Linked DNA regions of Nothobranchius furzeri. Each later gene encodes a partner of the first gene's protein in a complex. Links are inferred from orthologs where the notes say so. Each region holds a gene or a part of one and is shown in the gene's direction. Other genes may lie near its edges.

Region 1 (5,744 bases):
AATGATCACAAAACTAATAAATGAAATGTCTTCTTGATGATTTGCTTGTGGCTTGAAAGCTTTTACTCATATTCCGTTTCCTTCTTTAGGTTCTGTGTGTGTGTGTGTGCGCGTGTGTGTGCGTGTGTGTTTCACTAGCTCTGATGGTAGCAGCAGGAATATCTCACCAGTGAGAGGCTTCAAGCACCTCATTATGACTGAGGTCCAGGTAAGATCAACTTCTGGAGTGGTGGGGGACAAAAATGAATATTTACAGCTTTTTTTTTTTTTTTGTATTTTTCTAAAAGGTGATTCACCCATGTCGTTTTAGAGTCCATGGCCGCAGGGCACAGAGTGTGTGGCCAGGTACAACTTCCTCGGCACATCGGAGCAGGACCTGCCGTTTAACAAAGGAGACATTTTGACAATCATCGTTGTCACAAAAGTAATTGTTTTATTTGAGCATGCATTGGATGAGCTCAAAGCTGTTTTCCGTGGTGTGATGTTTTCAAGGAGAGATGCCTCCTACTACGCGCATGCACATTCTCACACCCAAGGCGTCAAAATATGACGCGTGTGATCAAGCCTCAATATATGACGATTCGGGACGCCCCAGCGCGTCAGAAGACGACGATCAGGGACAAACAGCTGACGCAGCGTCCCAGAGCGTCGGTAACCAACGCCGGTGGTGAGACGGACATTGGAACTACTTGTGAACTACTTAACCTTCCCCTCACCCCAATCCTAACCTTAAGGTCACAGTTTATGGACCTTAAGGTTAGGATTGGGGTGAGGGGAAGGTTAAATAGTCAAATAATGTCTGTGTGACCGCGCGTGTCAAACAGTGACGCCAGTGGAGCCACGTGACCCAGCGTGTCCCTGATCGTCGTCTCCTGACGCGCCGGGGCGTCCCGAATTGTCATATATTGAGGCTTGGTCACGCGTCATATTTTGACGCCTTGGGTGTGAGAATGTGTTGACAGAAAGAGCTATACACTAGTCTGATGAAGCACAAGGTTGAATGCTACACTAATCACTTGGCTCCACTATACACAGAAAAAAAATACTTTTTTATTCCCTTCCCTCCTCTTTCACTATTAGCTTGAAGCGTACAGACTGACATTAATTCAATGCGGGTCGAGTTAGCATTCAAGATAGCACCATATTAGCCTAACACAGCATACAACAATTATCTTCAGTATTATTTTATCCAAATAAAATTTTGATTACAATTCTCTAAACTACTTAGGATCTACATGTCCAGTAGAAACTTTAGCCCTTTTTAGAAGACACACCGTGTCAGCAAATCGGCGTAATACCGCCGCCACGGTGTGTCTTATGAACGCGCCTTGGCGGCAACTAAAGCTTATACCATACCATTTATTTATAAAGCACATTTAAAAACACAGCATGTCAGCTGACCAAAGTGCTATACAAGTACAAGGATAAAAACAGCATGAGTTAAACACAGCAACAACAAGAATAAAACAAGAAAACGTCAGCAATGGAAGAAAGCCATTTCATAAAAATAAGTCTTTCAAACTGATTTAAAACAAGAGAGGGAGGGAGCCTGCCCGATTGAGAGTGGGAGGGCATTCCATAAAGTGGGGGCAGCAAACATGAAAGCTCGCTCACCCTGCGATTTATATCTCATCGATGGTACATTGAGCAACAGAAAGTCAGCTGACCTCAGAGCCCGATTTGGCACATAGGGATTGATCAAGGCGGAGAGATATCCTGGGGCAGAGCCTTTCAAAATCTTAAAAAATGTCGGGAGCTTGAACATGACTCGTAAGTTTACAGGTAACCAATGCAGATGTTCCAGAACAGGAGTGATGTGGGAATGCCTGCAAGTGTTTGTCAGGAACCTGGCTGCAGCGTTCTGAACCACCTGGAGATGATTTAGAGCTGGAGCTTGAACACCTTCCTCATACCAGCTTGGCAGCATTGTTTTCCAAAAGAGGCTTTTGGCAACTCTTTATCTGTTTTGAGTCCTTGTAAATCACCAAGCTCCCTCCATCTTTTGAAAACTTCTCCAATGTTAATTCTACTCCACTTTTGTAAAAATCTCAGAGAAAGTCTGTTGACATTTTCTTTGAAACGGAGAAGGCGGCCTAGGAATTGGTGACTTGGATCCTTGTTTAAGTTGCTCCATTCCAGAGCTCCATCATCTTCCTGCATCACTCTAATGTACTCTGGGGACTGGGGTGCTTTCTCGCTGATTGACAGCTCCCTCATATGGAGACACAAATCTACTGGTCAACGCTCTAGGCTTACGTAAATTAATAGTTTTGTTGTAAAGACCAGAGGAGGGACTTAAGGGGAATGTTTATTATAAAAGATGAACCACTCTCCGTCATAGAACAGGGTCAGTTGGTCTAATTTAAAAATTAAAAATTTTAAAATACTTACCCCAGCTTTACCAATGTTTTTAATTCCCTTTCAAATTTAAAGTACAACTTCCTTATTAAAGAACGTTGCAGCTATTTAGAAGTGTGTTTGTATCTAAAGATCACTAGCCGTTAGCTCATCAGTCCATTAACTTCATTACGTTGAACAGAGGTTGTTTAAAACTGGTGATTATTCATTGTTTACGCAGAAACAATTCAAAGTGGTGGAAAAATTATTGAAATTATGATTTAAAAAAATTATTCTAGTTATTGTTGACACTTTGTGTTGCAGGATCCAAACTGGTACCAAGCAAAAAACTCTGCAGGCCGCGAGGGAACTATTCCAGCCAACTATGTTCAGAAAAGAGAAGGTGTGAAATCTGGAGGGAAATTGAGTCTAATGCCGTAAGTGTGGAGAGGATTTAAACTTCTTACATTTAAACAGCCTGTTTGGCATGGCAGAGATGCTCCAGTTGTGTGAATGGAGACCGCAGTGTTGTAATTGCAGTGCAATTGTAATCTGCCTCCGCCTCAGCTTTGCATGAACTCTGCACAGCTTCCTGTTGTTTCTTTTCTATTTCAGACAAAAGTAATCTTGAAAATCTCCTCGTTTTCCCACGTGATGGGTTTCTGCGTGCTTGCGTCTGCACATGAATAATAGGTTTCATTTTTAGTATGACTGATCAGAAATAACTTCATGAAGATAAATCTGCAGCCATACTGATGCCGTGTGCACACAAAGCTAAGTGTTAGGAAAATTAATATGAAACCACATATCTAGTGTGAAGAGGTTAATACAAAATTATGTTGCAAAAAACATGGACAGGACTTATTTCTGTTATACAGAAGCCCTTTGTTGGCAACTAAAGTGTTTTAGGAGTGCAGAAAATGGTCAAAGACAATTATTTTACAGCTCAAATTTTGCTGTTTAAAGTCTCAGTAGCAATAAAAACCCTGCAAACCAGCAGAATTGAACATTTAAGAAGAAGTAGAAAATATAATTTCTATAGCCTCTCAAGATAGAAATCACGAGGCGCTTCACAAAAACAAAAAAATGTAAAATATAAAAAATTATTTAGAAAATGATTAAAAATATATTTAAAATAAGCGAAAATAGACAATTGTGATAAAAAAATGTAAAGAAAGAGAGAGAGCAAATAGGAAAGAGGAAAATCAGTGGATCCTGAGGAAGGTGGAATAGGTAGGGAGAGCAGAACAAGGAGAGGATGATGAAGGTCACACCAAAACCAGCCTGAACAAGTGAGTCTTCGGCTGCTTTTTAAAGGAGACCACTGAGTCCACTGATCTCAGGCTCAGGGGGAGAGAGTTCCAGAGTCTGGGGGCCACAGCAGCAGATGATCTGTCACCTTTGGTCTTTAGCCTGGTGCTGCACAACCAGTAGGCTTTGATCACTGGACCTCAGGGACCTGTTGGGTAGGGTTGGGCATCGAGAATCGAGCATTGATTGTAACCTGTTCCAACTGTTCATTTTTCCCAGAATTGCACAACATTTTTATTCCGATTCCTAATGTGCAGACGGAAGAGAAATCCGCTGCCGATCTCCGTGAAAAATAAACGTGATCTGCAAATTGTGATCAATGCTTTTCAGAGCTGATCACACCAGCTGTCTGTGAGCAGCACGAGTCCCCCCTCCCTCCCTCATCCGGATATAAACAAACACGTCTGCCAAACTTCTACTCTGTAATGTAAACTTTTAACTCCTGCAGCATAGAGGAAACTTGTTAAAATACGTCAACACGGTGGATTTAATAGAAGCTTTAAAGAACAAACTCTGGACGGTGTGAGGTGATCGTCTCACTGCAGAAATAAAAACACGTGAGCGTCAGAAGGCTGAACAATAACCTGTAGAATAATTAAAGTCATCATGCTGGAGCAGCTTCTCTGTGGTGGACCACACCAGCTTCTGCCACAATAAACAATAATAATAATAATAATAATAATAATAATAATAATAATAAATCACACACAAAGTTGTGAACATTTTAATTTCCTTTCTGAACAATTTCTGTTGAGTTTTAATGTTTAAAATCTGTTAGATTGTTACTGTCAGCAGCTACATTTAAGCTTCACTTCCTGTTCTGACTGAACGCTGCTGCAGCATGGAGGTGTAGTTCTCAGTCATCCTGGACATGATCATCCTGAGAGTTGTAGCTGAAAACAGCTGGACGTTTCTGGATATGTTGGAGACATTTAGCCTCATCCCAGAGGCTTCTTCCAGACTTTGGTTGTGGTCAGAAACAAACACACTGGTTGTGCTGCAAGTCTTTTTCTTTTTTCTCCAAAACATGTTTCTGTCTAAATGAAGGTGATGTTATCGTTCATAGAATTAAAATTCATGTTGAAGTTAAGATTATTTCAACAAGTAGGACCTGTGGTTAGCTGGCTCATGTAAAGCATGTCATGTCTTGAAAGAATCGGAAGCGGGAATCGATAAGAACCGGAACCGAAAAGAGGAATTGGAATCGGAATCGTTCAAAATCAAACAATGCCCAACCCTACTGCTGGGGTTGTAGGGACTAAGAAGATCACCAATGTATGATGGTGCTTGTCCATGTAAGGCCTTAAAGACCAGAACCAGGATCTTAAAATGAACCCTGAAGTTGCTTAACAGCCAGTGAAGCTGGAGGAGAAGCGGGGTGATGAGGGTGTGTTTGGAGGACTTGGTCAGAAGCCGAGCACAGGCATTCTGAACCACCTGTAGACGGTTCAGGGAGGTTCTGCTCAGACACGTGAAAAGAGAGTTACAGTAGTCTAAGCGTGAGGAGATGAAGGTGTGGAGAACTGTCTCAAGTTCAGAGCGAGACAGAATGGGACTCAGCTTAGCAATGTTCCTGAGATGGAAGAAGGAAGAGCGAACAAGAGAACTGACATGAGAATCAAGGGTGAGAGCTGGGTCAAAGGTCACACCAAGATTCCTGACAGAAAGTTTGGTGTGAGAAGCAAGCTGACCAAGAGTGTCTCTGACTTTGGGAACCAGCTTGTCTGGGGCACAGATGAGGATCTCAGTCTTATCTTCATTCAGCTGAAGAAAGCTCCCAGCCATCCAGGTTTTGATAGAGTCCAAGCAGGTGTGTAACAGCTGCAGCTTAGACCTCTCATGGGGTTTGAAGGAGATGTACAGTTGGATGTCATCTGCGTGAAGATGGTAGGAGATTCCTTTGAAGGAGCTCAGGATGTGCTGAAGAGGAAGCAGATAGAGGAGGAAGAGCAGAGGTCCCAGCACAGAACCTTGTGGGACACCATGGGTAAGAGAGGTGGTGGAGGACCTAAACTTGGAGACGGCCACAGAGAAGGAGCACCCAGAAAGATGAGAGAACCACTCCAGAGCAGTTCCTGATAGGCCTACCCAGTATC
Region 2 (5,744 bases), on another chromosome or scaffold:
TGATTTGGGCTCTGCAATTCATTAGATTTGTTGTTCAACTTTTATTTTGTAATTTTTGTCATTAACCTCTTTGAAAGAATGCTTTTATGTTCAGGGTTTCCCCCAGCGCTTTATAAGCCTGGCGGCCCGCCAGGCTTTACTTGGTCACCCGCCAGGCTAGGCGTCATGTCCCGCCCCCCTCCCGACCCTACCGTGTCCTCTGACACGAACGGCGCAACGAAACTAGAGCCCTCCATAAGCTGATACTGGTGAGAAACAGCAGCGGAACGTGTGCCCCCCCCCCAAGACGGCCGAAGGTTTAACTCATTTTCTGGGGGAAACCCTGATGTGTTTCTGTCTCCGCCCCTTCTTAGTCATTTCTGGTGGGGTTAAAAAGTCAGCACAAATAAAGATGGAAGAACAAGGGCAAAGCACTGGCGACATAGGATGGACACCAAAATGTGCCTACGTTATATGCAAAAGGATCTCCACGCACCAGAGCAGCTTCTTTCCAGTTTGAACCTCCTGGCTTCCATAGAAACTCTCCTGTTATTAGTTTATTTAATTGGTGACAACACATCCTCCAAATATTTCTTTAGTTCCTAGCCCAGACAAGCCTGACTATTGGCATGTTAAAGGTGACCATATTGATTCTAGTGTGGCCATTAGGCCACCTTTCTCAGTGACCTAGTGGTAGAGTGTCCGCCCTGAGACTGGGAGATCAGGGGTTCGATTCCTGGTCGGGTCATACCAAAGACTTTGAAAAAATGGGACCCAGTGCCTCCCTGCTTGACACTCAGCATTAAGGGGTTGGATTGGGGGGTTAAACCACCAAATGGTTCCCGAGCGCGGCTTGTCTGCAGCTCACCGCTCCCCCAGGGGATGGGTCAAATGCGGAGAATAAATTTTGCACACACACCTGTGTGTGTGACAACTAATGGGACTTTAACTTTAACTTTAAAGTAATACTCAATATTCTAAACAGTTCAACTCTGCCATCTGTTGGTTTCATATGGTAACTGCAGCATCCTTAAATGTAAAGTCTTGAAATTTTAGGTTTTACGTAATCAGACAATAAATAAAAATGTTTAAATTATAAATATCCAACCATACAGGGAAGGAAAACGTTGGTAAAAAGGAACACAGATTATAGTATAAAGTCTGGGGCATATTGCAGAATGCACTTTGCTCCGTGCTTTTGGGTCGTCCTTTGACACTCTTATTTTGAAAAGCAGCACTGCTGCATTTCCAGTGTGTTTTCAGCTGAAAAGGAGGAAGCAATGCAGTGTGATAAAGTAAAAAAAATATTTGTGATTTGGATTTTCTTTCATAATCGTTGGATTTAGAGTAGTTCAAACGAGTTATATGATACAGCTGCAGTGATGTCACTTGGTTATTATATCCTCTCAGTTACATGAGCTAACTGATCAATAAAGTAGATTTGTGTAACCCCCCCCCCCACCCCCCCCCACCCCCCGTGTGTGTGCACCCTTTCTAATTCTATCTTTTTTTCTGCTCTTTTCCAGGCAAGGCCGACCTGACCAACCGTCCCAGGTGTAAAGGTAAGGCCGCGTTCCCCTCTCACCAACTTGCTCACGGTGAAAGCAGCACAAGCTCCCGAGTGTTTTTCCTTTGTTTGTTTCCCATCAGGGAAAACACGCCGACGCTCCAACCCAAACAAGTAATTCGTCTGCAACCTTTGAGGTTTCATTTGGATTCTGCAGCTCAGTGTGATCCGACACACTTCAGCACATCTCCCCCCACCCCCACCCCTCCTCCCCCGGCCCCCACTCCCTTCGGTGGTGTTTGGAGAGTTTTTCAAAACGTTTATTTGTTTGATATTTCTGTAGACCTGCGGTTACAGTCTCACCTCCCTCGCTGTGTCTCACCCACGTCCCCCTCTCCGTTTCCCATAAATCAGCCGAGATAACATCAGGGGTACAGTGGAGCCCAACTTCAGCTGTCTGAGGCAGACGTGAGGAGGTTTCTGATGCTGTGGCTCTGAAACAAGGCTCTGATGTGAGGGCCACTGCAGCAGACTTGTCTGCACTGCAGCCGGTCTCTTTCTCTGCTATGCCCTGCCACCTGCTGGCCACGTCTGGTAAAGGCACTCAGCTCCAGTGGGTTTGAAAAGCTGTTTGGCCTCAAAAAGTTGAAAGAAAGGGATTTTATCCTGAGTTAAGAGACTATCTGGGTGGTTAGGTAGAGTTTAGGTCATTTAAGAAAGCTATAAAACATTGGTATATATATGATATATTAATATACCTTTTTTTAAACAGCATATGAAGTCAGCTTTTACATTGAAAGAGTAGAAGTAACATGGCTGTGTTCCATTTCTACAGATGTGAGTTTTGTTTGTGCAAAAGCAGAACACCACCCTAAATGGAATGCGGCCTCCTTTAACGCACCTGTGCTTTTTCTGCTATTTCTCATCAGATTGTCTGCTGTGGACCAGGATTTAGAGCCTGTCTGACATGTTTGACTTTTATGACATCATCATAACATCATAAACACACTTTCCTTTACTTATTTAGTGGTTTGCATGACTTCCATCATTTCAAAGGAAACCATCAGAACAATTTTGGTGTTGAATTTAAAACGAGAAAGTCTTGTCTCAGTGATGTTACCCAGAGTTCCTTTGGAAAAAGGATCTGAAAATCACTGAAGGTTTGTGTTTTGTCCTCAGCTGCTACCTGTCCGATGTCCTCTCCCCACACTGTGTGATGTGTCATGGCTCCGGTGTTGAGTGGAGATTGGTGGTCGGGGACGGCGGACACTAATGGCGGCGTGTTGTGGCTGGGGAGTGAGCAGCTGGTGTCTGTTGTCTCCCTCGGCGTTCTCACCGGTTTGCTGCTGGCATCCATGCTGCTGCTGCTGTGTGCCAGCTGCAAGGGGTGAGCTTCACACACACACACACACACACACACACACACACACACACACACACACACACACAAGCACAGATTTGTGTATTAAATAGCTGCACATTATTGTTCCGATAACTACAAACAATGTTTCCCATGAAAATAAAAAGATGAGGGCTACTTTAACATGAAAATATTTACAAATAAAATATTAATATCAAAGATTATCTAAAGTATTAAAATGCAAAATAATAATCATTATTAAATGAAAAATATTTATTAAATATGAAAACTTTTATGAAATATAAAAAAACGTTTAAATGCTGTTTTGTGACTAACAGAATAAGACATTTACACAAAGAAATATGTTTAAAATCATGTAAATTCAATGTTAAAAATTACAAGTTCATGGATAAAGTTAAACAAAATTTAAAAACCACACCAAATTTAAATCAAAGGTTCTAAAATCTAAATGAATATAAAATAAAATTACAATATTCCAAAGAACAGATTAGATTTACTTCACTTAAGTTACCAAAAATATATATAATATAAAAAATATATAAATAAAAGATTAATTAAATATGAAATCAAAATACGTTGTTATAAAATTTCAAATACAATTTTATGTATAACTTAAATGTATTATTTACATCAAATAGAAGATTAAATATTTAAATATTTCAGATTTTTTTAAAGATTAATTGTATAAAGTATAAACAAATGACATTAATTATATCAAATAATACATAATATGAAGAAAGAATTAAAATCAAGATTACAAAAACTGCAGTAACATGTTAATGCAACCATTTCCAAATACGAAACAACGAAAAGTCTTTTTTCCATTTTTGTTTGTCTTGCTGCTCATGCACGTTTGTACATAACATTTTTAAACATAAGTTAGATTCTTTAGCAGTTTTTCTATTTACTCCTTAAACTAAACCAATATGTTGTTTTTTGTATTGCATCTAAAGGATTTATAACAATACATGTCCTACATGCTTTCAAACCGTTTTTAACATTCTCAGGTAATCATTGAGCGTTTTTGTGCTTAACCTGATTAAAAGTTTACTTTTAACATACAGCAGGTACCTTTAATTTAAACCCTTTTGACTCCCTTAAAAGAGAAATATGTTTGTGTATATTTTTCCAGACACCCAAGCATTAAATTATATAAAAAATAACAAAATATTATGAAATTTATGCAGCTTGAATACCACTCTCCAAATCTTTCATCTGTCACTGTAAATGTGAATTTTTTGTTTGTTTTTATTATGAAATTAATAAAAGAAATACTAAGGGTGGAACTTAATTAAAAAATGAATATAATTAATCAGAGGCTTTGTTATAATTAATCTAGATTAATCGCATTTTAATCGTTCAAGAAAATTTGTCCCCATATTGTTTTCTAATTAACTAATCATTAATAATGCACAATTAACCCCTAAAAAAGACTCTTTTAGTGTGAAATACACCCTGAAACCAAAAGTGTGAGTAGCGAGTTACTCTGGATGGTATCGGATTAAATCACCTCCTGAAGGACAAAGCCGTGTCCACGTTAGAAACTACACAGATTAATTTCTGTGTGATCACCCATTTCTCATTGATCTTAATTCTCTCTTTTAGGGAGAAGAAAGCAGCAAATGGACACCCGGGTGGAGACCAGCTGAACCTCGTGAACGGAGTGAGTCGTGGGTCACAGAAACGTGTGTTTAATATGATCTGATCGTCGTGGCTGGTATCCAGTCAGGCGAGTCTAAAGAAAAGAATAATCTGTGTTTATGGAGTTGACCTCGGCCCTCTCTGCTCATAACGACGAGCCATAAACGAACACGGCGTCCTTCTGAACACAATGTCAGGGCAAAGGCAGCCATTACCCACCGCCATAATATTGACGCTCCAGTGACCAGACGGAGAGTTGTGTAGTCTCTTATCTTTCCAACTCTGTGAGGTTTTTCTTATTTGATTGATATCTTTACTGTAACCTTGTGCTTCTGCGTAATTTGCTGCCTCGCCGAGTTGTTGCAGGAGGTGCCCATTTGTATGACAGACCATGTCACCGTCTGACAGGGTAAATGGGGGTCTTTGTCTCCGAGCGAGAGCAGATCCATCCAGGAACTGTCCCCCACTCATCAGTCATTTTTAAAAACACTTATTTCTGGCTTTGCGTAAAATAAAAGTGACATTTTAATGCAGTTTGAAATCAGGATGGTGTTAAACCATCTAGTTATGTTTATGAGGACTTTAGGTTGTAATGAGGACATATTTTCCAAGTCCACTCCATCATATTAGTTGTTTTAGATTAATCAAGAGGAAATATTGTCAGAAAATGTTGTTTTTTCACCTTTAAATCAAACAGTAAGATGTTAAAAGGAAATAAAACAGGAAAAATGACATCATTGACATTAGTGCCTATAAAAATAATGACCACTAGGTGGAGATGGAGAGCAGCATAAAAACCCTGATCTCTCACTCTGAAAACAACAGACCCTAAACAAAGGAAACCTCTGGATTTATCCTGATATGATGTTCCCTCAGTATCTGAACTTCATAACTAGATGATGCTGATGAGTCAGGGCTCAGAACACACTGGAATAGTTGCTCTTATTTTCTTTGCTCACCATGTTGATTTCATCTCATTTTGCTCCCTATAGGCAGATTTAGTGCTTGCATAATTTTTGTTTGCCTTAAATTCAATTTGTTTTTAGTATTTTATAGAGAAAAAGTGCAAAACGGAAACGTAACCCTCTACTTTGATTATTCTGCTAGCTTTGATTGGACATTCCTCTGGTTTTTTACTTGATTTTATCAATTATTTTCATGTTTTATTTAAAAAAAAAGTTCTGAACATCCATTTCATGCTCATAGCATTGCTTAGCTATCTGCACTGTTCAATAA

The links. The genes of interacting proteins can lie anywhere in the genome.
Region 2: the proteins of tyrosine-protein kinase CSK (region 1) and pag1 are in contact, whole or in part, in an NMR structure (PDB 2RSY), measured with the Rattus norvegicus proteins. The link is inferred for Nothobranchius furzeri from reciprocal best matches to the Homo sapiens genes CSK and PAG1. Residues at the interface, in NP_001025210.1 of Rattus norvegicus: Thr88, Arg89, Glu93, Arg107, Ser109, Thr110, Asn111, Tyr112, Thr117, Cys122, Glu123, Lys125, Val126, Glu127, His128, Tyr129, Arg130, Ile140, Asp141, Tyr156, Asp161, Gly162; in NP_071589.1 of Rattus norvegicus: Phe291, Ser292, Leu294, Tyr296, Lys297, Ser298, Arg299, Glu300, Glu301, Leu305, Ile310, Met313, Tyr314, Ser315, Ser316, Val317, Asn318, Lys319.

What each region holds. Positions count from the first base shown.
Region 1 is NC_091744.1:58,976,496-58,982,239, reverse strand, and holds part of tyrosine-protein kinase CSK, read left to right. Parts: intron 1-89; 5' UTR 90-193; coding exon 194-208; intron 209-310; coding exon 311-424; intron 425-2,661; coding exon 2,662-2,774; intron 2,775-5,744. UniProt on the Homo sapiens protein: Non-receptor tyrosine-protein kinase that plays an important role in the regulation of cell growth, differentiation, migration and immune response.
Region 2 is NC_091759.1:682,216-687,959, reverse strand, and holds part of pag1 (phosphoprotein associated with glycosphingolipid-enriched microdomains 1), read left to right. Parts: intron 1-1,505; 5' UTR 1,506-1,541; intron 1,542-1,629; 5' UTR 1,630-1,660; intron 1,661-2,665; 5' UTR 2,666-2,709; coding exon 2,710-2,873; intron 2,874-4,472; coding exon 4,473-4,530; intron 4,531-5,744. UniProt on the Homo sapiens protein: Negatively regulates TCR (T-cell antigen receptor)-mediated signaling in T-cells and FCER1 (high affinity immunoglobulin epsilon receptor)-mediated signaling in mast cells.